Caenorhabditis elegans: one gene and its partners. The protein of the gene in region 3 purifies or fractionates together with the protein of the main gene of each other region. This does not show direct contact. Each region holds a gene or a part of one and is shown on either strand. Other genes may lie near its edges. The genes, in order: lsm-4, eif-1.A, egl-45 and clu-1.

What was found.
Region 1: the proteins of egl-45 (region 3) and lsm-4 fractionate together in Caenorhabditis elegans (co-fractionation; one large-scale study listed by BioGRID). This does not show direct contact.
Region 2: the proteins of egl-45 (region 3) and eif-1.A fractionate together in Caenorhabditis elegans (co-fractionation; one large-scale study listed by BioGRID). This does not show direct contact.
Region 4: the proteins of egl-45 (region 3) and clu-1 fractionate together in Caenorhabditis elegans (co-fractionation; one large-scale study listed by BioGRID). This does not show direct contact.

The regions. Positions count from the first base shown.
Region 1 is NC_003280.10:7,251,245-7,254,815, reverse strand, and holds lsm-4 (putative U6 snRNA-associated Sm-like protein LSm4), read left to right. Parts: upstream 1-1,652; 5' UTR 1,653-1,714; coding exon 1,715-1,720; intron 1,721-1,762; coding exon 1,763-1,903; intron 1,904-2,134; coding exon 2,135-2,212; intron 2,213-2,220; coding exon of another isoform or gene 2,221-2,254; exon of another isoform or gene 2,255-2,262; coding exon 2,263-2,409; 3' UTR 2,410-2,584; downstream 2,585-3,571. Other genes in the region: ada-2 (SANT domain-containing protein), read right to left, coding at 1-111, 169-397, 448-721, 767-1,227, 1,284-1,396, 2,221-2,254; prx-13 (Peroxisomal membrane protein PEX13), read left to right, coding at 2,813-2,866, 2,918-3,000, 3,466-3,571. UniProt on the Caenorhabditis elegans protein: Plays a role in pre-mRNA splicing as component of the U4/U6-U5 tri-snRNP complex that is involved in spliceosome assembly, and as component of the precatalytic spliceosome (spliceosome B complex).
Region 2 is NC_003282.8:4,809,095-4,812,786, forward strand, and holds eif-1.A (Eukaryotic translation initiation factor 4C), read left to right. Parts: upstream 1-1,839; 5' UTR 1,840-1,841; coding exon 1,842-1,941; intron 1,942-1,988; coding exon 1,989-2,273; intron 2,274-2,320; coding exon 2,321-2,586; 3' UTR 2,587-2,889; downstream 2,890-3,692. Other genes in the region: ubxn-6 (UBX domain-containing protein 6), read right to left, coding at 1-393; H06H21.37 (uncharacterized protein), read right to left, coding at 390-403, 454-601, 697-870; srw-95 (G-protein coupled receptors family 1 profile domain-containing protein), read left to right, coding at 3,035-3,135, 3,183-3,401, 3,563-3,692.
Region 3 is NC_003281.10:7,823,666-7,830,519, reverse strand, and holds egl-45 (Eukaryotic translation initiation factor 3 subunit A), read left to right. Parts: upstream 1-1,893; 5' UTR 1,894-1,931; coding exon 1,932-2,042; intron 2,043-2,094; coding exon 2,095-2,226; intron 2,227-2,321; coding exon 2,322-2,731; intron 2,732-2,786; coding exon 2,787-2,900; intron 2,901-2,996; coding exon 2,997-4,472; intron 4,473-4,771; coding exon 4,772-5,487; intron 5,488-5,552; coding exon 5,553-5,824; 3' UTR 5,825-6,143; downstream 6,144-6,854. Other genes in the region: E3 ubiquitin-protein ligase kcmf-1, read right to left, coding at 62-198, 269-366, 425-576, 827-1,018, 1,063-1,093.
Region 4 is NC_003281.10:9,515,704-9,523,184, forward strand, and holds clu-1 (Clustered mitochondria protein homolog), read right to left. Parts: upstream 5,758-7,481; coding exon 5,631-5,757; intron 5,586-5,630; coding exon 5,518-5,585; intron 5,473-5,517; coding exon 3,726-5,472; intron 3,675-3,725; coding exon 2,596-3,674; intron 2,488-2,595; coding exon 2,407-2,487; intron 2,279-2,406; coding exon 1,808-2,278; intron 1,760-1,807; coding exon 1,589-1,759; 3' UTR 928-1,588; downstream 1-927. Other genes in the region: F55H2.7 (uncharacterized protein), read right to left, coding at 120-173, 224-415, 461-544; prp-40 (WW domain-containing protein ZK1098.1), read left to right, coding at 6,373-6,454, 6,530-6,798, 6,845-6,974, 7,022-7,404; mrps-23 (Small ribosomal subunit protein mS23), read right to left, coding at 7,459-7,481. UniProt on the Caenorhabditis elegans protein: mRNA-binding protein involved in proper cytoplasmic distribution of mitochondria.

The DNA of each region.
Region 1 (3,571 bases), on a different chromosome or scaffold from region 3:
CAAGAATTTTCAACTCATCACTTCTTCTCATTTTTGGACGAGTTTCCGACTTTGATACACCACTTTCATGAAGTAGACGAGGATATGCACTTCTGAGCTCTTTAACTTCTTCTAAAGAACAAATTGCGCCGAGAGTTTCTAACTTTTTTTCTCCTTGTTTCTGCTCACGGTTCATCTTTTTACGGAATTCATGCAATCTTCTATCTTTTTTCGAAACCCACATCCTCCTTCGCTTTCGTCTCTTTGAGCTCGAAGCTGTTCCTCTCTTTGGTTTTTTCTCTTCTTCTTCATCTTCTGTATCAAATTCCTGTGCAGTCTCAAAAGCGCTTGGAGGATCTTCTTCTTCTGTTTCGCGTTCCATGCCGTGGTAGGTGTCTTTATCAGAAGCTTGACTTTTCTGGAAAAAATACACATAAAACTGAATTTAGTTATTTTCCTTAAACTCACATCATCGTCCGAATCACTGCTTGATTCTCTCATAACTCGAGTAGTTTTTCTTCTCTTTGGACTCGGAGGCCCCTTTTTCCGACAACTGGAAGACGGGCCCGGCGAATTGTCATTATCACTATCATCAGTATTTATTTCCTGTTTTACTGATCGCTTCGATTTCATATCTCTTTCATTATCAGGATCACAGTCATCTGGGCTAAGCTCCGTCTCATATTGATTTGTAAGGAATTTTGGGCGCTCATACTTGGTTTCAATGTCACCATCGATTACTCTGAAGAAATTCTAAATATATGAAAAATAGGACATTTTCACTTACTTTTGCACATACTGCTCTAATACTTGTTGCACTTTTATCGCAAGTTTCGGATCGTTTTCATCCCAGCTTTCTCCAGATGCACGAACGGCGTCTCGAATCAGAAGCATTCTTTCCGTTGATTCCAAACAGTTTTTTTGTAGCACACTGTCTAATGTTTGATTTATATACATCCCATATTTAATTCGATCCCAACTTGAACTTTTTATGGAAAATTGTCCAATCCATCCACGCACGAAATGTTTTTCAAAGTAATCCTTGCAATTATGACCATCTTTTCTTCCGCGACCAATACTTTCAGCTATTTCTCCCCAATTTCCCATCTTGAATTTATGAGCAGCTTTTAACAATTCGAATTCATCTTCGTGTGTCCAGCTCATTGCTTCGGGATTACTTGTTGGCTTGACAAGCTCGTAATTGTGACCTCGGCGATGTGGTGGTGATTCCGCGCCGCATTGGAAACACTGAAATTTTAAAAATAAAATAATGTTCTTAAAAACTTCACAATCTGTCAACTCACGAGGATACAAATTCGCAGAGGACATTCAAAGCATTTGACATGAATGGTTTGGTCGACTCGTAATGTGCAGTTGAAGCATACCGGATGTTCTCCGGTATCATCAGCCATTGAACCTATAAATATTAAAATTCCTCAAATCATGTTTTAAAATAAAACTAATAATCTTGAGATGAAAACAAAGAAAAATCGATTGCAGAGGTGAACCCTGTTTTCAAATGATCATCCACCAACGACCCTCCGAAATGACGCATGGTCGCCTTGTTTAACGTAAATATTGTGTGCATTAAAATCTTTTTTTATCGGAATTTTTTGTTTCGAATTGTCTTTTCGCCGTAATTTCAGTTTAAAATCTTAATTTATTCTTTGCAGATTGTCTCACTTTAAGTTTTACTAGTGAAAAACAATCACAACCCCACTAAATCAATATAGTCATGGTGGTAAGTCGAATTAAGCTGAACTCAAATAGTGTATGATTTCAGTTGCCACTTTCTCTTCTCAAAACCGCTCAAAACCACCCGATGCTTGTGGAGTTGAAGAACGGCGAGACTTATAACGGTCACCTGAAAGCCTGCGATTCGTGGATGAATATTCATTTGGTGGATGTTATTTTCACATCAAAAGTAAGTGTTTCGTTTAATTAAATGGTTAGCCCAGGAGAAACTGGCTATTCAGAAATTTCTTTTCGTTATTATTGAAAAAAAACATAATTTTGTTTTAAACGGCTCACAGATTCTAATTTAGAAAGAACCTTTCATATTTAATTTGCATTCATATGTCAGCTCAATATTTCAAACATCTAAAACTCTCGGATTGATGCAAATTTGCGACTAACAATACATGTTAAATTACAGGACGGTGACAAGTTCTTCAAAATGTCAGAAGCGTATGTCCGGGGATCTACTATCAAGTATCTCAGAATTCCAGAAACAGTAAGTACCTGATTTTCTCTTCGACAACATAACATTTCCCATTCTTCCAGGTGGTCGATCTCGTGAAAACTGAAGTCAACGAAGTTCGTCGTCAACAGCAGCGCGAGCAATCCCGTGGTCGTGGTGGTGGACGAGGAGGACGTGGAGGACACCGCGGAGGTGGTGGAAACCGAGGCGGACGCGGAGGAGCTCGATAATTCCTGCAGTGCTTCGATTGCTGATAACAATTTCTCGTTTACTCTAAATAATTTATGTATTTGAAATTATTTTTTTACCCAAAAACCAAACCTTCCTCCGTCTCTTCTGATCTTCCCCAAGTCGGGTTGTTTCACATGTTTTGAAATTTTATTACAATAAATTGAATTATACTTCAACAATATCTTAAGATCTTTCATCTGTCCTCCCACTCTTTTACTAGACTACAATGTAGTCTAGTATGGGACGTTGTCCTTATCAACCGCCCGCTGCAGTCATTGATTGTAGTCCACAATGTGACTAACGGCAATTTCATAGTTGCCATTTCTTTTATTTTTTCTTGAATTTAATCCATTTTTCAAAATCGAATAACGACATTCCATTTATTATTACAGATAAATTATAATGTCCGCACCTCCAACAAATCAACCACCTCCGCTGCCGCCAAGGTCATTTGATGTAATTATTGATAAATTGTTTTGAAACTCCTACTAATCGATAATATTTAAGAATCAAATGTCGAATCCAATGATCAATACAGGTTTTGGTTATGGTGGAGGATATGGAATGAATACGTTTCCAGGGTCTGGAATGTAAGTTTTATTTTTTAAATATTTTTTTTTTTTTTGAATGCTCTTTCGTAAATGCTAAAATGTCTGCGCCTTTAAAGAGTACTGTAGTTTCAAACTTTCGTCGCTGCCTTATTTTCATGGATTTTTCGTAGTTTTTCCGATAAATTAATTTTAAATTCAAGTATACTAATAAAAAAGAGAGAAGAAGCATGAAAAAACGATGAAAGTCCCTCAGCAACGAGAGTTTGCTGTTACAGTACTATTTAAAGGCGCACACCTTTTCATATTTAAGAAAAATGTGTCGTTTCGAGACCGGGTACCGTATCCTTGACGCAAAATCGTAAAATATCATGTCTGGGTAATTTACCGAATAAAGTCAGTACCGAAATGATAGAGAATGGGTTACTGTATAACTCAAAGGGGCCTACGTTTCGCGCAGCCTCGATTTGAAAATATTTTGTATTAATAAAATTGTATATTGTTTAGGTATGGTGGTGGGGGAATGTATGGAGGAGGAATGGGTTACGGTGGATTTGGTGGTGGCTTCAACCATATGGGATATGGTCAAGGACCTGACAGCAATTTTGCTCGA
Region 2 (3,692 bases), on a different chromosome or scaffold from region 3:
CTCACCGAGCAACTCGGAAGTGTAGAGAACACGTGATATTGCGGATGAATGCTCGAGGTGTTGCTCACGGTCGGGTTGCTGCAGTGATGAAGTCCCAGAAATGTTGAGATCTTCAACCTGACGTCTCTCTTCTTCCAGCTCTCGTTTTGCAATCATTTGAATTCTTCGTTTTCCAGCATTTTGTTGAGGTTCATTCTTCTGCATCCGTTTGAAAGCAGCCTGAGCAGCAATATCAGCGGCCGCGACACGATCAATTTGGCCTCCCTGGGCGGCTCCAGCGTGGGCAGAAGGCTGCGAAGATGACTCGCCGGATGACAAACGAACACCTTCACCGCTCTTTTTGAAGTGATTCTGGACTCGCTTTTTGTTGAGGAATTTCTTGAAACTATTCATTCTTCTTTCTCTGAAATAAATTGGAATGGTTATCAGTGCAGAACTTGTTAAATATCTTACTATTTTTTTCGTTGCTCTTATTTCTCGCTTTCTCAATGTTCTCTCTTATGATAAACTCCTGAATGATTGGTGAATATCGATTCCACGCAATGATAGTGCCAACAGAGAAGATGAAAAGTAGAATAGAAAGAAAGAGTCCGAGAGCTACCTGAAATTTTCAAATTTTGGCCATTTTAGACAGAAACAAGAACAATAATTCACGTTAAAATTTCGAAAATCTCAAAAACATGTTCTCTAACGCACTTGTTTTTTATCCAACGAATAATTATCACAGAAGATAATCAAAGCACGATAAACGTTTTCTACTCCGAATGCTTCTGAGGAATCTGGAAGCGCGTCGGAGCTCTGATAAGCAACTGAATTTGTGCTCAACGGAGTCTGCTCAGTTGTCGGCTCGGCGACCAGAGGCTCTCCCATGCAAGAATAGCTGGAATTGTAGTTCTTTTTCAGAGAGATTTGCGGAAATTAATGATTGCGAAATAGGACAGAAGGCGATGACGACATTTGTGATATTGCACGGTGATAAACATATATTTTGGGTTGTATACAAACTTCAAACTTCATTTCAGAAAATTTGAAAAAAAGCTCATCTCGAAAACGCTATAAAAAACTTGGAGTTTTTCTATTGGAGAAAACTAAACTGGGGAAAGCTTTCGGACAGAAAAATATTATCTGCTGTATTTTTCATGATGTCGTTAATTTTGTGACTTAATAAACTACAAAAAAATGTAGGTAAAACACTTTTGCGTGAAAAGTTTGTGATTGTTTTCCCAAAATACGTTTTTGCGGTTAAATGTTCGTTTTGAGATGTTTATCTTACAATTCTTTTATATTTTGGACAATAATTATATTCTATGAAGTAATCTTTGATTCTGAATAACTTTTTTCCGAAAACAATTCGTTAAAACAACAAAATTTTAGAGAGAAAAATAAAAAATAAGCAAAATAAAAAATAAAAATAGCGAGTGTCGTAAATTGTGTCGCCAAGTCCGCAGTTACGTAACCTCGCGCCGCGCTCTTGCGATAGCAAACCCCGCCCACTTTTCTGTGCACTCCACATTTTCGTCGATTTTTCATTGAAATTTTTCTTCTGTTATTTTGTTTATTTTTGTCGATTGACGACATAATTTTAATCTCAAGCGCTGATAAAATTATTATTTCCAATTTTTAGAAATCACTTTTCATCAAAATACTCACGAAATCCAAGCAAACTGTTTATTTTGGGATAGTATACTCATTCTTCTTAATTTTTTGTTAAATTCCATTGAAATCTGACATTACCTTATGCATATTTATGTTCTTGTTTTTTCTACAATTTTTGCAGTCCTCTTTGCTTCTGTATTTCTCGTAACTTCAACTTTCCAAATTATTTCGTAATATTTTCAGCAATGCCGAAGAATAAGGGAAAGGGAGGAAAGAATCGCAGAAGAGGAAAGAATGAGAACGACTTCATGAAGCGCGAGCTCGACCTCAAGGAGGAGGGACAAGGTAGATTTTATAACTTCTTTCCCGAAAAACAAAAGCATTAATTCCAGAATATGGACAAGTCTCAAAAATGCTTGGTAACGGTCGTGTTCAAGTGTTCTGTTTTGATGGAAAGCAGCGTGTCTGCCATATTCGTGGAAAGTTGAGGAAGAAGGTTTGGATCAACGTGGGAGATATCATTCTCGTCGGTCTCCGAGATTATCAAGACGACAAGGGAGATGTTATTCTGAAGTACACCCCAGATGAAGCTCGCCGTTTGAAGAACGAGGGACTTATCCCAGAAAACGCCAAGCTCAATGAGAACGATGAACAAGACGAGGGAGAGGTTGAGTTCTGTAAGTTTATTTTTGCTGAAAATTAATGAAGTTCAATTTTTTTTCAGTGGATCACGTCGGAGACGAGGGAGAGGCCGGAGAAGCAAAGTCTGACTCAGATTCATCAGACAGTGATTCGGAGAAGTCTGACGAAGAGGCAGGATCGGATAAGGAAGAAGAATCGGACGATGATTCTGAAGAGGAATCAGACGAAGATTCAGATGATTCGGACAATATTCGGGAAGAGGACTTGGCAGCTGGTCGTGGATTTAAAGAGGACACTCGTCGCGGCGGAAATCGTGGTGGCAAGAACAAGTACGGAAAGAGACGCTAAATTGATTAAATTATTGGTTTTTAATTGTTTCCCCCGGTTTCTGTTCTTTCTCCCCCTAAAAATCCATTGTTTCTCTTTCGATCCTTTTCAGACATTATCTTCCCATCTTCTCTGTCTCCCGAAATTCCGTTACTTGAATGCTACAAAGTGAAATAATTCGATTGTGGTGTCCGATGATCAACACAACCTCAAGGTTTCGGTCCATCGGACACCACTTGATGAAACAACTCATTTATTGCAAATTATCCCGTATTCCACTATTTTCCTTTCATTTATATTGTTTTCTGATAAACTTTTCTTGTTATGGGTTTAAAGCAGCACACAACTCTCGACCTTCAAACCGAAAAGCAGGTGAAACATTTGCATCAAAATGTCACAACTCGCGGCCACGTGTATTCATATAGTAAAAATTATTTATTTCAGTTATTTTAAGCTGAATTTGAATGAAATGATTGACAGAGTGCTTCTTTATAACTTATCAACTTCTGCATTTCCCAGCTATGATAATGCGACTAGAATTGATTTATATTTCTTTCTTATAGCTGTTGAGCAAGTTTTAGCTTTGAAAATCCCGTAATATTACCGTCAAATTCCAGAAAGTTTGTCCATCCATCAATAATCATTAATATTGTAATTTCATCAATTGGGATTTTTACAACATCATTCCATTTATTCGTTTTATCTCGAAATTCAATGTTAAAATCGTCCGTAATCTTGATAATGATAGGAATCGCTATTTGTGATATATTAGTGATGTTTGTCTCTATTATTTATAACTATCTTTATTTGATTTTGGAATTTAATGTGAAACCCTGGTAAAGTACATTTATTCAAAAGCTTAGTTCCACAGTACTACTACAGTAACCCAACGTAGTAAAAGATCTATGTGGTTAAATCGTAGTTAAAGAGATCACGTAGTAAACAGTACTTGACTTTTGTAACCCGATGTTAAATCAACTCATCTTTCCACTTCCAGTGAACCACCTGCACCACTTTCATTCTTTTATATGTACTGGATCAATGTAGTAATTAATGATTTGTTCCGTCGAACATCCACGTGGCTCAGCGTAGTTATGGCCACAATCAGACTGATCGTCTTGAAGTTT
Region 3 (6,854 bases):
CGCCTGATATCTTCGACAGAATCAGGACCCATGTTTCGTAGTAAAGCAGCCATTTCAGCACCTATTTCGTCCTGTAAAGGCCTTCCTTGTGCTGCTGTTCGTGACACTCCTGCTCGATTTCCTCTTCTTGCTAACATTGGACGTCGCTGAACTGGGCGAGTAGTTATTGGTTCAGTTGAACGAAATAGGTTTTCCATTCTGTAACAATTTGTGATTTTTCAAAAATATTTAGAAATATTGGGAAATGTGAGTTTTTTGTATGCCTTACGTATGAAGATGAATCTCTGTCCAATGTACGCTCAAATTTTCAGTTTCTTTCGATTGAATGTGCTCCATCTCTGTGTTTCCAATACAAAGCGGGCATATCTGGACGTTAACAAATTAATGTTATTTAAAGGATATTATGTTTAGCATTTTCTCTTACCACACTGTAGCCCGGAGCCTCCGGATGTTGTGAAAGTACATGTGTCCCAAATTGCCGTTCGGTCAATCCTGTTATATTACAATACGGACAAGTGAAGGAAACAATTTTCCGTTCGTCATAATGTCGCGTAGGGTCGCCTTGGTATACGAGGTCTGTAAAGAATACTAATATTTGATAACATAATTTTTTAGGGGACGAAAATTATATATTTTTAATTTTTCTGAAATCCTCACTCTCACCATGTTTTTATAATAGATGTTTTAATTATGTTAAAACTATGAAACTTGTCATTTTATTTATTACAAAAAAAACTCAAAATGTTAATTTTTTTCGATAAAATTAAATTAAAGCTTTGAATTTTTTATAAAACCAAATGTTATGTGTAAATATTTATAATCCTACCAAAGTCCACAGAGCTCAAAATTAACTGCATTGGATGGGACTCGTCGTGTATTGGGATATCAGCTATTGTTTGCTGGTCTCCGTAGTTCTTTGTGGTAAAACAACTGAAGCAGAGATCGTAATCACTGCATCGTAGGCATTTGTAACGGTTTCCAGCAAACGCGGTGAAAGCACACCCATCACACGATACACCTGAATGAAGGGAGATATTAGTAATTCTTTTCAGATTCAATTACCCTCGTGTGTGCCAGTAAGAGGAGTCACCATCAATCGACTATGAAAGCTGAAAACGATTCAATTGTTTAAATGTATTGTAAAACAGCAAAAAATAAACCAGCCAGGAAAAATCGATTATATTAAGTGGATTTTCTCAGTGTGATTGTGGAATAAAATATTATAATTTTAATTTTAGGTGGAACTGGGAAAACTCAATTGATTTTAAACATTGATTTGAAGAAAAACTTTAAAAAATTAGCAAGAAAGGGTAAACATTGTGGATATCTGATGAAAATAACACTCGCGCTTTAAAGGCGCGTAGAGTTTTCTCCGCGTGCAGGTCTCGCCGCGAAAGCCTTTTTTCGTTCATTTTCCAACCGATCGGTCGGATTCTCAGCCATCTTTTGCGAATTTTTAGTGTTTTCCGCAATTTTTTGATGTTTCTGTTGTGAAATTATGATAGAAAACAATTTTCTATTCATGATAGTGCAAATTTTTCTCAAAAATGATGAAATTTATCGATTTCTCGTAAGAAAACATGTTATTCTATTGAAAACGAGTCAAAAAGTCTAGATTATTGAAGTACTATGTGCAAAGTTGAACTATTTTCATAGCTTCTACAGTAAATACATATTAAAGAAGTTTTTAATTTAGTGTAATAGCTAAATTGCTGGCGAACTGTTAAAAAGTGATCAATTAAAATGTGAATGTACAAATTAACATCGATCCAATTGAAATTCGGAACCGTTTTTGTGATCTTTTTTTAAAAATACATTTCGAATTTGGAATTACGCTCTATAAAAAAAATATTGATTCTTAATGTAAACTTCTTTTCATTTCGCAATTTTCAGGCTTCGTGTCTCAATTCAGCGGTAATCCGAGCACAACTATGGCTCCGAATTATTTTCAAAAGCCCGAAGCGGCATTGAAACGCGCCGAAGAACTCATTCAAGTTGGAAAAGAGTCCGATGCCCTTGACACGCTTCATGATACTATCAAGGTAGGCTTTAGAATGCTCCTAATTTGAAACTTTGAATTTTCAATTGTTGTAGGCCAGACGACACAAGCAATGGACAACTGTTCACGAACAAATCATGATTAAGCACATGGAATTGTGTGTAGATCTGAAGAAACAACACTTGGCAAAAGATGCTTTGTTTCAATACAAGGCTCTAACTCAACAGGTTATCTTTTTTTTAACGATTGCTTTTGCGAGTAGAAAATTATTATTCTGACTGACAGTAATGCAAATTATTCATGCTAATTAATTAATTTTCAGATCAATGTGAAATCTCTCGAAACAGTTGTGGTGCATTTTTTGAAACTCGCAGAGCAGCGTACTGAAGATGCTCAAAAACAATCGATCGAAAAAGTCGAAGAAATTGGAGATCTTGATCAAGGAGATGTTCCTGAACGCCTTCTTCTTGCTGTTGTTTCTGGAGCAGCTGCTCAAGATCGAATGGATCGTACTGTTCTTGCACCATGGCTCCGTTTTCTCTGGGATTCTTACAGAAATTGTCTGGAATTGTTGAGAAACAACGCCCAAGTTGAACAACTCTACCACACCATATCTCGCCACTCTTTCACTTTCTGTCTCAGATATCAACGTAGAACAGAGTTCCGAAAGCTGTGCGATCTCCTCCGTATGCATCTGAATCAGATACAAAAACACCAATATGCTCCAAATGTGTAAGTGATGACACTATTCAGTAAACGCTAATTAAAATATTTTCTGTTCTTTCAGAAACTCTTTCCGTGTGAAACTCACTTCTCCAGAATCTCTAGGTCTTATGCAAGACACCAGATTGATTCAATTGGATACTGCGATTCAGATGGAGCTCTGGCAAGAAGCTTACAAGTATGTTTTTCTTGTTTTTTTTTAAAGTTCATGTGCGAGGGATTATTTTTCCAGTGAATTGATTGTTTAATCAAATTTTATATGTTATTTTTTCAGAAGCGCAGAAGACGTTCACGGAATGATGCAGCTTTCAAAAGACAAAGACAAGAGAACGGTAAAACCTGCAAGCTATGTCAATTATTATGACAAACTTGCATTGGTGTTCTGGAAAGCAGGAAACAGTTTGTTCCACGCCGCCGCCCTTCTTCAAAAGTTCATCATTTACAAAGATATGAAGAAGTCTTTCACACAGGATGAAGCACAAGAACAGGCTACTAGAGTGCTTCTCGCTACTCTTTCCATCCCAGAAGGATCAGATTCGCCATCTGATTTGTCTCGCAACCTTGATATTGAGGATCAACATGTAGCCAACATGAGACTTCTCTCAAATTTGCTTCGTCTTCCAATTGCTCCAACTAAAAACGGAATTCTCAAGGAAGCCGCACGGATTGGAGTACCAGAAGCTGCTGGACAAACCGCCAAGGATCTGTACAAGCTTCTTGAGAGTAATTTCTCACCATTAAAAGTAGCTAAGGATGTTCAATCTGTTCTTGATACTGTCACTCGCCCTGACCATCTGCAATATGTTGAGTCTCTTCAAGCAGTTGCTGCTGTGAAGGCTTTGAAGCAAGTATCTGTCATCTACGAAGCTATCAGCTGGGAACGAATTCGAAAGATTATTCCATTTTACTCTGACTTGGCATTGGAGCGTCTCGTCGTTGAAGCAAGCAAACATAGAATTGTGAAAGCTCAATTGGATCATCGTGCTGATTGTGTTCGCTTTGGATCATCCGATGCGACATTGGCCGGAGGAGTCGATGAATGCGATAACAACGAAGGATTCACTGGAGATGATACTCAATTGGGAGTGGAAGGTGTTCGTAATCATCTTGAAGCAATGTATACACGTCTTCGTGGTCTCGTTGAAGGACTCGATGCCGAAAAACGACGCAAAGAGATTCTCAAAAAGATTGAAGGACAGGTCACTAGTTATGAAAAGAACCGACCAACTGAAATCGAGCGTATCCACCGTCGCAAGAAGATGTTGGAGAACTACAAAGAGAACTGGGAGCGTGTTAAGGCTGAAAAGACTGCTGCGGCTGCAACTGAACAAGCTAAACGTGAGGAAGCAGCTCGTGCTGAGGAGATGAAGAGATTGGATGAGCAGAACAAGGAGAGCGAACGGAAAAGAAAGCAAGCAGAACAGGATGAGATTCAGAAGAAGATTAAGCAAGATCAGCTCTACAAAATGCAGCAGAACGCCATCTACCAAGAAATTATCAAAGAAAAGGGTCTCGAGCAATTCAGAGACATGGATCCCGAGCAAGTGCTGCGTGAGCAGAGAGAACGATTGGATAAGGAGCGTGCCGAAACTCAACGTCGGTTGCAACAACAAGAGAAGAACTTTGACCATCATGTTCGCGCTCTTCACTTGGAAGAGTTGAACGAGCGTCGTGCAGTGATGAATATGCGACTCTCTGAAGCTCCAAAACTTCACGATTTATACGAAGAGGCTAGAATAGCCAAGGAAATGTAAGTTTTTTTTTTCAATTAATGTTAATTTTTTGAAATTCTACTAAAATTTTAGAAAACCGAAAGCGTCTATTTAAATTTTCTCTTAAGTTTTGCTTTTCCTGCAAGTTTGAGTTTGAGAAGGATTTTCGTCGTTCTTAGCATTATGAAATGCACAAAAGTTTTGCGATAAACACGATTTAGATCATATATTAATAATTTTGTTGTTTCATTTGGAAAATTAGAATTTTTCTATTTTTAACATTAGTGATTTCTTTCTTTTTTTTGATCTCTCATTGTAATAAAAAATAATATTCCAGTGCTGCTCATGACTCACACGTCAAACTATGGGGAATGTGGGATCAAGTGCGAGACGCTACTTTTGATTGGGTCGAGTCGGTGAAAATCGACAACCAGGAAACTCTTGAGAAGAAGTTGTCTGATTGGCAAGCGAAGCTCGAGGCAGTTCGTAATAATCGTCTTGCCGAACGTGCTGAGGATCGTAAGAAGAAGCGAAAGGAAGATGCTATTCAGGCGAAGATTGCCGAAGAACGTAAGAAACGCGAAGAAGAGGAGCGTGCCCGTCTCCAAGTTATCGAAGGACAACGTCGTCAACACAATGATGGTCGTGGTCGTAGAGAAATGGAGAATTCGGTTGCTATGCAAGACAATGATTGGAGACGTAACCCACCACGTGAGAGTTTGCCTCCAAGAGAAACGAGACCAATGCGTGATGGACCAACACGTGAACCTCGAGAATTCCGTGGAGATCGTGATCGTGAACCTAGAGAGCCATTCCGTGAGGTGCCATCTTCTAAAGCTGATACTGACAACTCTTGGAGAAGTTCTGCTCAACCAACTCGTAAACCTGACGATCGCCGCAGCGACGAGTTCCGGCGCAACGATGATGTCCGTCGCAACGACGATGTTCGCCGCAATGATCCACCCCGTCCAGCATCGAAGGCTGATACTGGGGATAAGTGGGAACGAGGAGTGAAGCCAGTCGTTTCTCCACCAAAGACCGATGCCCCATCAGGTAAGATTAGTTTTTATTGTTCAAACATTTGTCGCTACAAACCTAAAAAAATAATCATTTTTCAGTTTCTGAACCGAAATCGGAAGGACCCAAGAGGTTCGTGCCACCCCATCTTCGAAACAGACAAGGAGGTGGTGGAGCAGGTGGTTCCGAGGAACAATCCGCTCCTGCTAGATCTGGAAATTCCAATGTGACAAGCCCACCAGACCGGGCTCAAGGACTCCGAGGCCCACCACCAACTGGCCGCAACTCGTTGCCTCGTCGTGACGGACCACCACCACGGTCTAACAACACTGGAAACACGGGAAATGCCGATAGTGGAAGTTGGAGAAAATAAACACATGCTCAATTTGTGCTGATTCCATATCCAATTTTCAGAAATTACTCGAATGTCCTTAAAATTAGTATCCTGGTTGATTTTTCTGTCTTTTTTCCTGTTTTGGTTATCCTTCCCCCACTTTCTCTCTAATTATAAAATCACACGCATCTATAATCAATTGTTTCGTTAACTTTCTTGGTGTTGTTATTTAAATTTCCCCGAATCCCCTGTTGACCCTCATTGAGAATTCCTATATTCTCTTCACATCCATCTTTCCGTAAACCCCAATTGTTTGAGTATTTATGAGTAATGATATGAATAAAGACATATGTAGCTGACGACTTGAACGACTTAAACGAGTGGGCGTGTCGTCGTTTGTCCGAGAGCAACTTAGAAAGTGCCCGAGGCGCATCGAAACGAGCCACATTGGGGCACCTGTATGAGGGTGCTTTAGACGACGTAATGAGACACTGAGAGCACGCTGATTGTAGAGACGGAGACGTCATGAGTGGACAGAGAGGAGACGGGGGGTAATACAATAAAATAGGATAGATGGTATGGGGCAAGCAAGCAGTGGCCCCATACACTTCTGAAGGCACCAGTTGTATTCATGATTCACCTCTCCTGGATGTGCTTCCTGCTTTTACCTTCTTTCTAAGTAAAACCGTACCAATGGTTTGAACATATATATATAACACAATTTTGATATATTATAAGTTTTTATTACCCGCACGCAAAATTTTGTGATTTTTTCCCAAAAATACAGTCCCCGGTCTCGACACGACAATTTTTGTTAAATACAAACATGTGTGCGCCTTTAAAGATTACTGTAGATTGAAAGTTTCGCTGCTGTGGAATATTCATTGATTTTTGATAGTTTCTTTTCACGCTTCGTTAAAATGTATGTGTTATTAATGTTAAGTTAAAAAGAAATATGAAAAATAAATGAAAATTCCACAGCAACTTAAGTTTGAAATTACAGTACCATTCTTAGCAATCTGTGAGATTTACGAATTTTAAAAAATGGTGTACAGTTCAAAGGGGATTT
Region 4 (7,481 bases), 1.7 Mb from region 3:
AAATTTGTTTGCCCACTTAATTTATATAATTTTTTGCTGTTAATTTCTGAAAGAACAGTAATTTTCAAATTTGTCAACCAAATTTTTAATTTTTTTGGGTTTTTTGGCGATTTTCTTACTTTAATATTTCTGTTCACTGCTTGTCGAAGAAGTGCGGGCATTATTTTGAGCATCTGAAATTTGATTAATTTATTTATTTTTAATTTTACCAGTAAAAGTGTACCTTTTCATTTTTAAAAAGAGGGTCATCTTTCTTTGCTTTTTCTAATTTTTGAGCCATCGGGTGATCGGAGATGACACATTGTGGGGAAGCATCATCAAATGAATCAATTATTGTAGCACCAGAAATATGTAATCCTTCTGCCACGTTTGTTCGTAGAATACGATTTTCAATTTCGAGCAGAAATGATCTTCCCTGAAATTCATAATTTTGTTTTTTTTACTTTAAATATTCTCTCACAATGAGCGGTTTTCCTTTTTCATCATTTTGTCCCTCATTCGGAATTCCTCTACTCGTTGATTGTCGTCTCCAATCACTCGCCATTCTATGAAAAACAAATTTAATTATAAGAGAGAAAAAGCTTTAAAGTCTCTCATTTTTAGAGGACAATTACATTTTTATAATTTTTTTGTTCATCAACATGAACAAAATCGGATAAAATTTTTTATGGTTTAAAACATTTAACAAAAAAAATGCAAAAACAAGAAAATATAATTTTCTACTGCTAAAAAAATAAAATGGACACAATTTTCAGTTTTTGCAACTTTTTTTCTTAAATAATGGAAGTTATATATTTTTTTTCTGACAAATTGGAAAAAGCGATACTCTTGATTAACAAATTCATATTTTTGTTCACAAGATATTTCAAAATATTTAAAGAATGAAACTTTAAGTTTTCTGAAAATTTTAGAACTGAAACAAAAAATAGATTTTCAGATTTTATTATTGGAGAAAGAACAAAACAATAAACATTTTATAACAGTTGATTGGAAAATTTAAAAAAAAACGAAAATTCATACTAAACTACAAGGCTTTGAATCCTAAGGCAAAAAAACAGGTAACGAGGAGAACAAACGCATCAGTGTAACAAAAGATGGAGTGTACTCGGATTATCAGAGATGTATATTTTTTAAATGATTAGTTTTTCGATGGACACTCGTGTCAGAACGACAGTCATAACATGTATGAAGGAAATGGGTTACAGATAGATGGAGAAGACAATGAAAACGGGAACATGTGATTGATTAAGTTGTGGGAAATGAGGGAAATGCTCCTGAGCAAATTTGAAAATTTCAGGCTGATTTTTGGAATTGAGCAAATGTTTTTGGTTATCAGAGAAAGAAACGGTGCAATTATCTCATATAATTATTTCAAAAAAGCAACGAAAATGCGGTCACGGTTTTCTAACAAAAAAAAAGTTATTTACTAAACTGATATCTACACCTAAAAAAACAAAACAAAAAGAAACAAAAACTGATCTATATGCTATACACTATTAAAAACTAAAATAATCAACGAACAAGTAATTCTAAATTTTTTGAAATTTGATAAACAACTTCCAAAAAATTGGGTGATATCTAATCAATTCTAATCGAGAGTCTCATTGTCAAGCTGAGCAGCAACATCTGTAGTCTTGCTCTCTTCAGTCGTCCCATTTTGCTGTTTTCCGAGAGAAGACAATCCAGGAACACCAATGATCAGTATTCCGTTGATGATGTTTAAGGTATCAAATAGAGAGGTAACTGTTGGAGGTTGAGCCTATAAAAATATTGCGATTTTTTTGCTATTGTGAAAATTTAATATTACCTGGAACAATTCAGTAATGTTTGTACTATTGTCAAGTTTCAACATTTTCTTTTGGAATGTAACAGCTTGTTGAGTAAGCGTGCGAAGATATTCACTCGATTCGTTGACTCTTGGGTGATTTGGTCCATAGAGTTCGGAATAAATAGCGAATGTTTCCTTTTCAGCAACTAGAGCAGCTCGGAAATCTCCACGAGCCGCATGTGTTCGGGCAATCAAATTGGAAATCAATCCAGTCTTCAGCTTTCTCGGTTCTCCAATAGTTTTTGTGATAGCATCAGCCGATTGCAAGTACTTCAAAGCTGTGTCGAACTCTTGAACAGTGAACAAAATGAGTCCAATGTTGGCATCAATTTGAGCCATTACAGGATGTTTCTCTCCAAATACGAGATTCATGAGATATCTCGCACGGTACAATGGACGAAGAGATCCAGGAATGAGAAGTGCTCCAAATGCGAAATGGGCCAAATTGATCTGAAAAATGTTCAATGTCATTGCAGAAAAATTCCCTTTATTTTGTTCTCATTGTTCTTCAAGTTTATCGAAAAACAAAGATGATAAAACATATTTAATGCAGATGATTTTTTATTAATAGTACTTACATATTCAATAATGGTATTTCCTGCATCCAATCCAATCAACCGTTCGCTCATGACCGCTGCCTTATGCTGGTTGTTCAAAGCCTGAAAATTATACGGCATTGGTTTTATATATTACAATTTCCAATGTATTCAGTGTTCATGCGGCTAAATTGTTTTAAAAACCAAAATAACTAATGATAAGACACTTACATCTCCAGTTTCTCCAAGAACGTGGGACAATCTTGCAAGAGCTCTCAAACATTGTGGCATATCTGGATGCATTACACCATAGACAAGTGTCATGAGATTTAGTGATTCGCCAATACACTCGTAAGCTTCTCGGGAGGCACCAATAGACATCGCTTGTTGTCCACGAATGAACATTTTCTTAGCATCAGCAGTGAATGGTTCATGATGCTTGATGATTGGGAAGAAGTTGATGATGTCATCTTCAACGAAAATTGATGTTTTCTTTGCAGTAGAGTTATCCAATTGGTAATCTCTTGCTACGAGCTGAACTCCCATGACTTTGCAAATGCGGCGGAAAAGAGCAGTTTTTTGGATATCATGCAATTCGGTGAACTTTTCAAGGGAGTCGGCCTCAATCGGGTATCCATAATAGCTGGCAGAATCTTCACGGATACTATTCCAAAGTGCTGATGTGGTTAACGAAGACCAGGCAGATGTAACTCGTTTCTTGCCGTTCTTCTTATTGGCTTTCTTCGCAACGTTCGCAGCAATAGGGCTTGGATCCAAAACTACAGAGAATAGGCAGTTGAGAATGTGAGATGTACTTGCGGAGAGTTGATCAGCAGTAATTTGAACATTGATCTTGCGGATGACATGCTTTGCAGATCTAGCAACGATATCCGAAAGAACAAGTGGACGAGCAAATGAGACGCTGTTTTCAAGACGTTTTCCAATTTCTCCTAAATAGCGAATATTGATACCATTGATGTGCATAATGTCAGCAAGATTATCTCCATCAATTGGTTGCACAACGCAATCTTTCAAGTTCTGAACAAGCTCTGGAATCTTCTGGGTAAGGAGGAAATCTGCGGCATCCACAACAACACGGCGTTGTCGTTCAAGGTTCTCTGTTGGTGCATGTTTGACATTTGATGAGAAACAATCCGGATTGAACTTCATAACATAGCGATCTTCATAAATAGAATGAACAACTGCACAAGCTTCCTTGATAGCATCTTGAACGACTTTGTTTTTGGCTTCAAACTCCTTATCTTCGCTGATGGCCATAAAGAGTAGTGATAGTTCAGTTTCTGCTTCGGCTGAAAAATAAAAATAATTTGATTAAGAAAAGTTTTGTACGAAATGATTACCTGCTTGCTTAATCAAAGTTTCATCATTTTTCTCTTTTGACTCGGTAATCAGATCACGGATCTTCTTTGCAGTTAACTGGATGAAAGTGACCAATCTAGACTCACAGAACGCATCAATTAGTTCACGGCGGAGAGCCGAAAGCTTGTGCGGGAATTTTCGTGGATATCCCAGTGTTTTAGCGGCCTCAGAGACCTCTGCGTCATCGAGATAATGAACATCTGGAGGCATTGAACGAAGAAGGTCCAAAACGTATTTTCTACCATCGTTTCCAATTATTCCCTTAGCTTCGTAGCTTGTATAAAGCTTCAACTCTTCCTTAACTCCGTCTTTCTCGCTGATAACGGTGTGAGGCAGCATTTTCAGTTTGTGAGCAGCATCCTCGAGCAGTTCGTGATACTTTTCATCAGAGACGACAGTTTTTCCAAAGTCTATCGATCCATACACAACAGATTGTTCTTGCTCGCGTTCCAAAATTCCTGGTATGATGGATTGTGCAGTCACACGATATCCTCGATAATCGAAAATTGCCATTCCTAGAGTGTTGAGTTTTGGATCATCAAGAGTTGCAAATGCCCGCACTCCTTGAAGATCGGTCGATGTAGCAGCAAAAGCAGCAGCGTCTCCTCCAAGCTCCTTATAATGATCTCTGACGTCAAATCCGAGACTGAAGAAGATATTGTTCCAAATGTACATATGAGTTTTCTTGTCCTCTCCTGGGTTTATAGCCAATATATTTCCATCAAGAATAGATTGAACACCTCTCGCAGCAGCATTTACGTAATCAGCATGAATTTTGTAATAACTTCGATCACGGATTACTCGCTCAGAAATGGATTTACGGGTCATCTCGAAAGTAGTCTGAAGCTCTTCATTCCAATCACGAAGGAGTCCTGGCATATGATCTTCAAATCCAACCCGGAACGGCTCTGTCAATTCAATGGCTCTCAATGAGTCACTCATGTACCCATCAGTTTTCAATGGATTTCCAACCCATGAAGAAACTGGGTAACTGGTTGGAAGTCGCTCAACGAGTGTCTTTTCTTGACGCCGCTTCAAAATTTGAGGATATACTTTCTTGAATCCTGGACTGACATTTTGAAGTAGTTCAATGACGCTTTGGTAGACAGTCTTATTGGAATTCGATACTGTCGGATCGAACCGTCCATCTTGTGAGTTGTTCACATAAAAACCTCTAGTGCAACAGGTGACATGGTAGATGCGATTTTCAACTGTTGTGATGTCGATGTACAAGACATCTCCTCTGAGCTTTCGAGGTCCTGGTGGAGGGTTGTACGGAGAGAATGCGATATCTTTAAGGGCAATGAGCTCTTTTGGTTGTGGAACAAGCAGATGAGCAAGGGAGCGTTCTTTGCATCCTGGAAGAGCATGATCTGGTGGAAGAATATCGGAAGGTTTTGGTTCTTTCTTTTCTTCTGGTTGCAAATTGATTGTTGTCAAATATGATTGAGCATCATTGGTACACGGGGGCTCGTGCTGATCTTCAGTAAGTCCAAATTTGAGTAATTCACGGACTTGGCGGAGGTGGAGACGAGCATCACGAATGGTGTATGGCTCATCGACCACGTTCAAGGTGCACCCATCAACGAATCCCGGAATAGCACGGACTTCAGAGTAGTTGTCTACGGCTGTTCCGTTCAAATACAAGGAGAAACAAGTTCTATGACAAGTAGCTTCACGGTCTAGCAGCGTCTGGTATAGTTCTTGAACCAACTCATTGTCGCTGAGCTGAAAAAATGTCTGGATTCTAAAATCAGGAAAGAAAAAACTGACATGTAGCTCGAAAGCGTCTCCACAAGATGGTTGAATAGTGATCTTCACGAACTTGTCGACTTGCTTATCTGAAACTCAAGGATAAAAAAAAACTAATTTTAGATTTTTCTCACCTGGTTCTGATGAGTCTGGAGTGTTTATCGACGAGTGACCTGAGTCGTTTTCCTCTTGAGGAATTTCGTGCTTCCCATTGATGATCGGCACTTCGACATCAGTTTTCGTTTCGGAACCCAAAGTCATCTGTAAAATATTTAAATATCAGTTCATCTTCATAATTATATTAGCGAAATATTAAACGATGAAGGATTTATGACGCAAATCATGGAATTCGAAAAATTGTGCGAGCACAGCACAATTAACGAATGGATAGATAATGGAACAGCCATGAAGACTTGTACCGAGAAAGTTGCAGAAGAACTAAAAAAAACTACAGATTTGGAGAAGGAAAGGATATTATATACAAAAATCCTATGCTATCGCACTTACGAGCGCAGCAGAGAACAAATATCAGAAAGCAATATCATTAACACCTATTTTTATACTCATTTTCTAATTTTCCGACACTGAATCAAAAATTAAAAACATCTGATGCAATAGGAAACGAGAAATTGGGAACAAAGTGTATTGTAAAAATTTTGCTCCAGGAATGCGTCAATCATCACGTTGGCGCGATCCTCGTTCATTGCGCTTTTCTGGTGCAAGCAAGTGCGCCCCACCGTATTTTCCGACGATAGATTGCATCGAAAGGGGGCACGCAGCGTTTCAGTTTTCTTCGATTTTTCCACAAATTTTGTTTATGCTACATTTTCCTTGGTGTTTCTTTCGTTTTCACTTTTTAATCAAGTAATTTTCAGAATGCTTCCCAATGGATTTTCATTTCTTAATCCCAATTTAGTAGCGGCTGCTAACATTCAACAAGTTCTCCTGAACCAAAGATGCAAGTTTTTCATAAATTTGTAAAATTGGCCAATTAATTAATAAAATAATTTAATATTAATGCAAACATTTTCAGTTGGCATGCCACCAGTTGGATCTATCGCTCAAGTTCCGCTCCTCCAAATGCCCACCCACTCTGTAGTTGCTCCGCACGTTGCAGCTCCGACGAGGCCTTCACCAATGCTGGTACCTCCTGGAATGGGCATAGACGAATCCCACTCATCCCCATCTGTCGAATCTGATTGGAGTGTGCATACGAATGAAAAGGGTACACCTTATTATCATAATCGTGTAACGAAACAAACGTCATGGATAAAACCAGACGTCTTAAAAACTCCACTCGAGGTAAGTGAAAAATATAGTTTACAGCGCTCTTGAAGTCTGATTTCAGAGAAGTACTAGCGGACAGCCACAACAAGGTCAATGGAAAGAATTCATGAGTGATGACGGAAAACCATATTATTATAATACCCTTACAAAGAAAACGCAATGGGTTAAACCAGATGGAGAGGAAATTACAAGTAAGATTTTATCTAGAGAATCTTTCAATTTGAATTATTTATTTCAGAAGGAGAACAGAAGCCAGCAGCAAAGGCTGCAACTGTGGACACTGTCGCATTGGCAGCGGCTGTTCAGCAAAAGAAGGCGGAATCCGATCTAGACAAAGCCATGAAGGCTACCCTCGCATCAATGCCAAATGTACCTCTTCCGTCTGAAAAGAAAGAAGAAGAATCTGTGAACGATGAAGTTGAATTGAAGAAACGGCAGTCAGAACGATTCCGTGAACTGCTCCGTGACAAATATAATGACGGAAAGATAACAACGAATTGCAATTGGGATCAGGCTGTAAAATGGATCCAGAATGATCCTCGTTTCAGAATTCTGAACAAAGTCTCAGAAAAGAAACAATTATTTAACGCTTGGAAAGTTCAAAGAGGAAAAGAAGAAAGAGTAAGTTGAAACGAAAAACAAATTTATGAACAACTACAAACTATAACTTAGCATTTATTTCAAAACGATTCCATTCT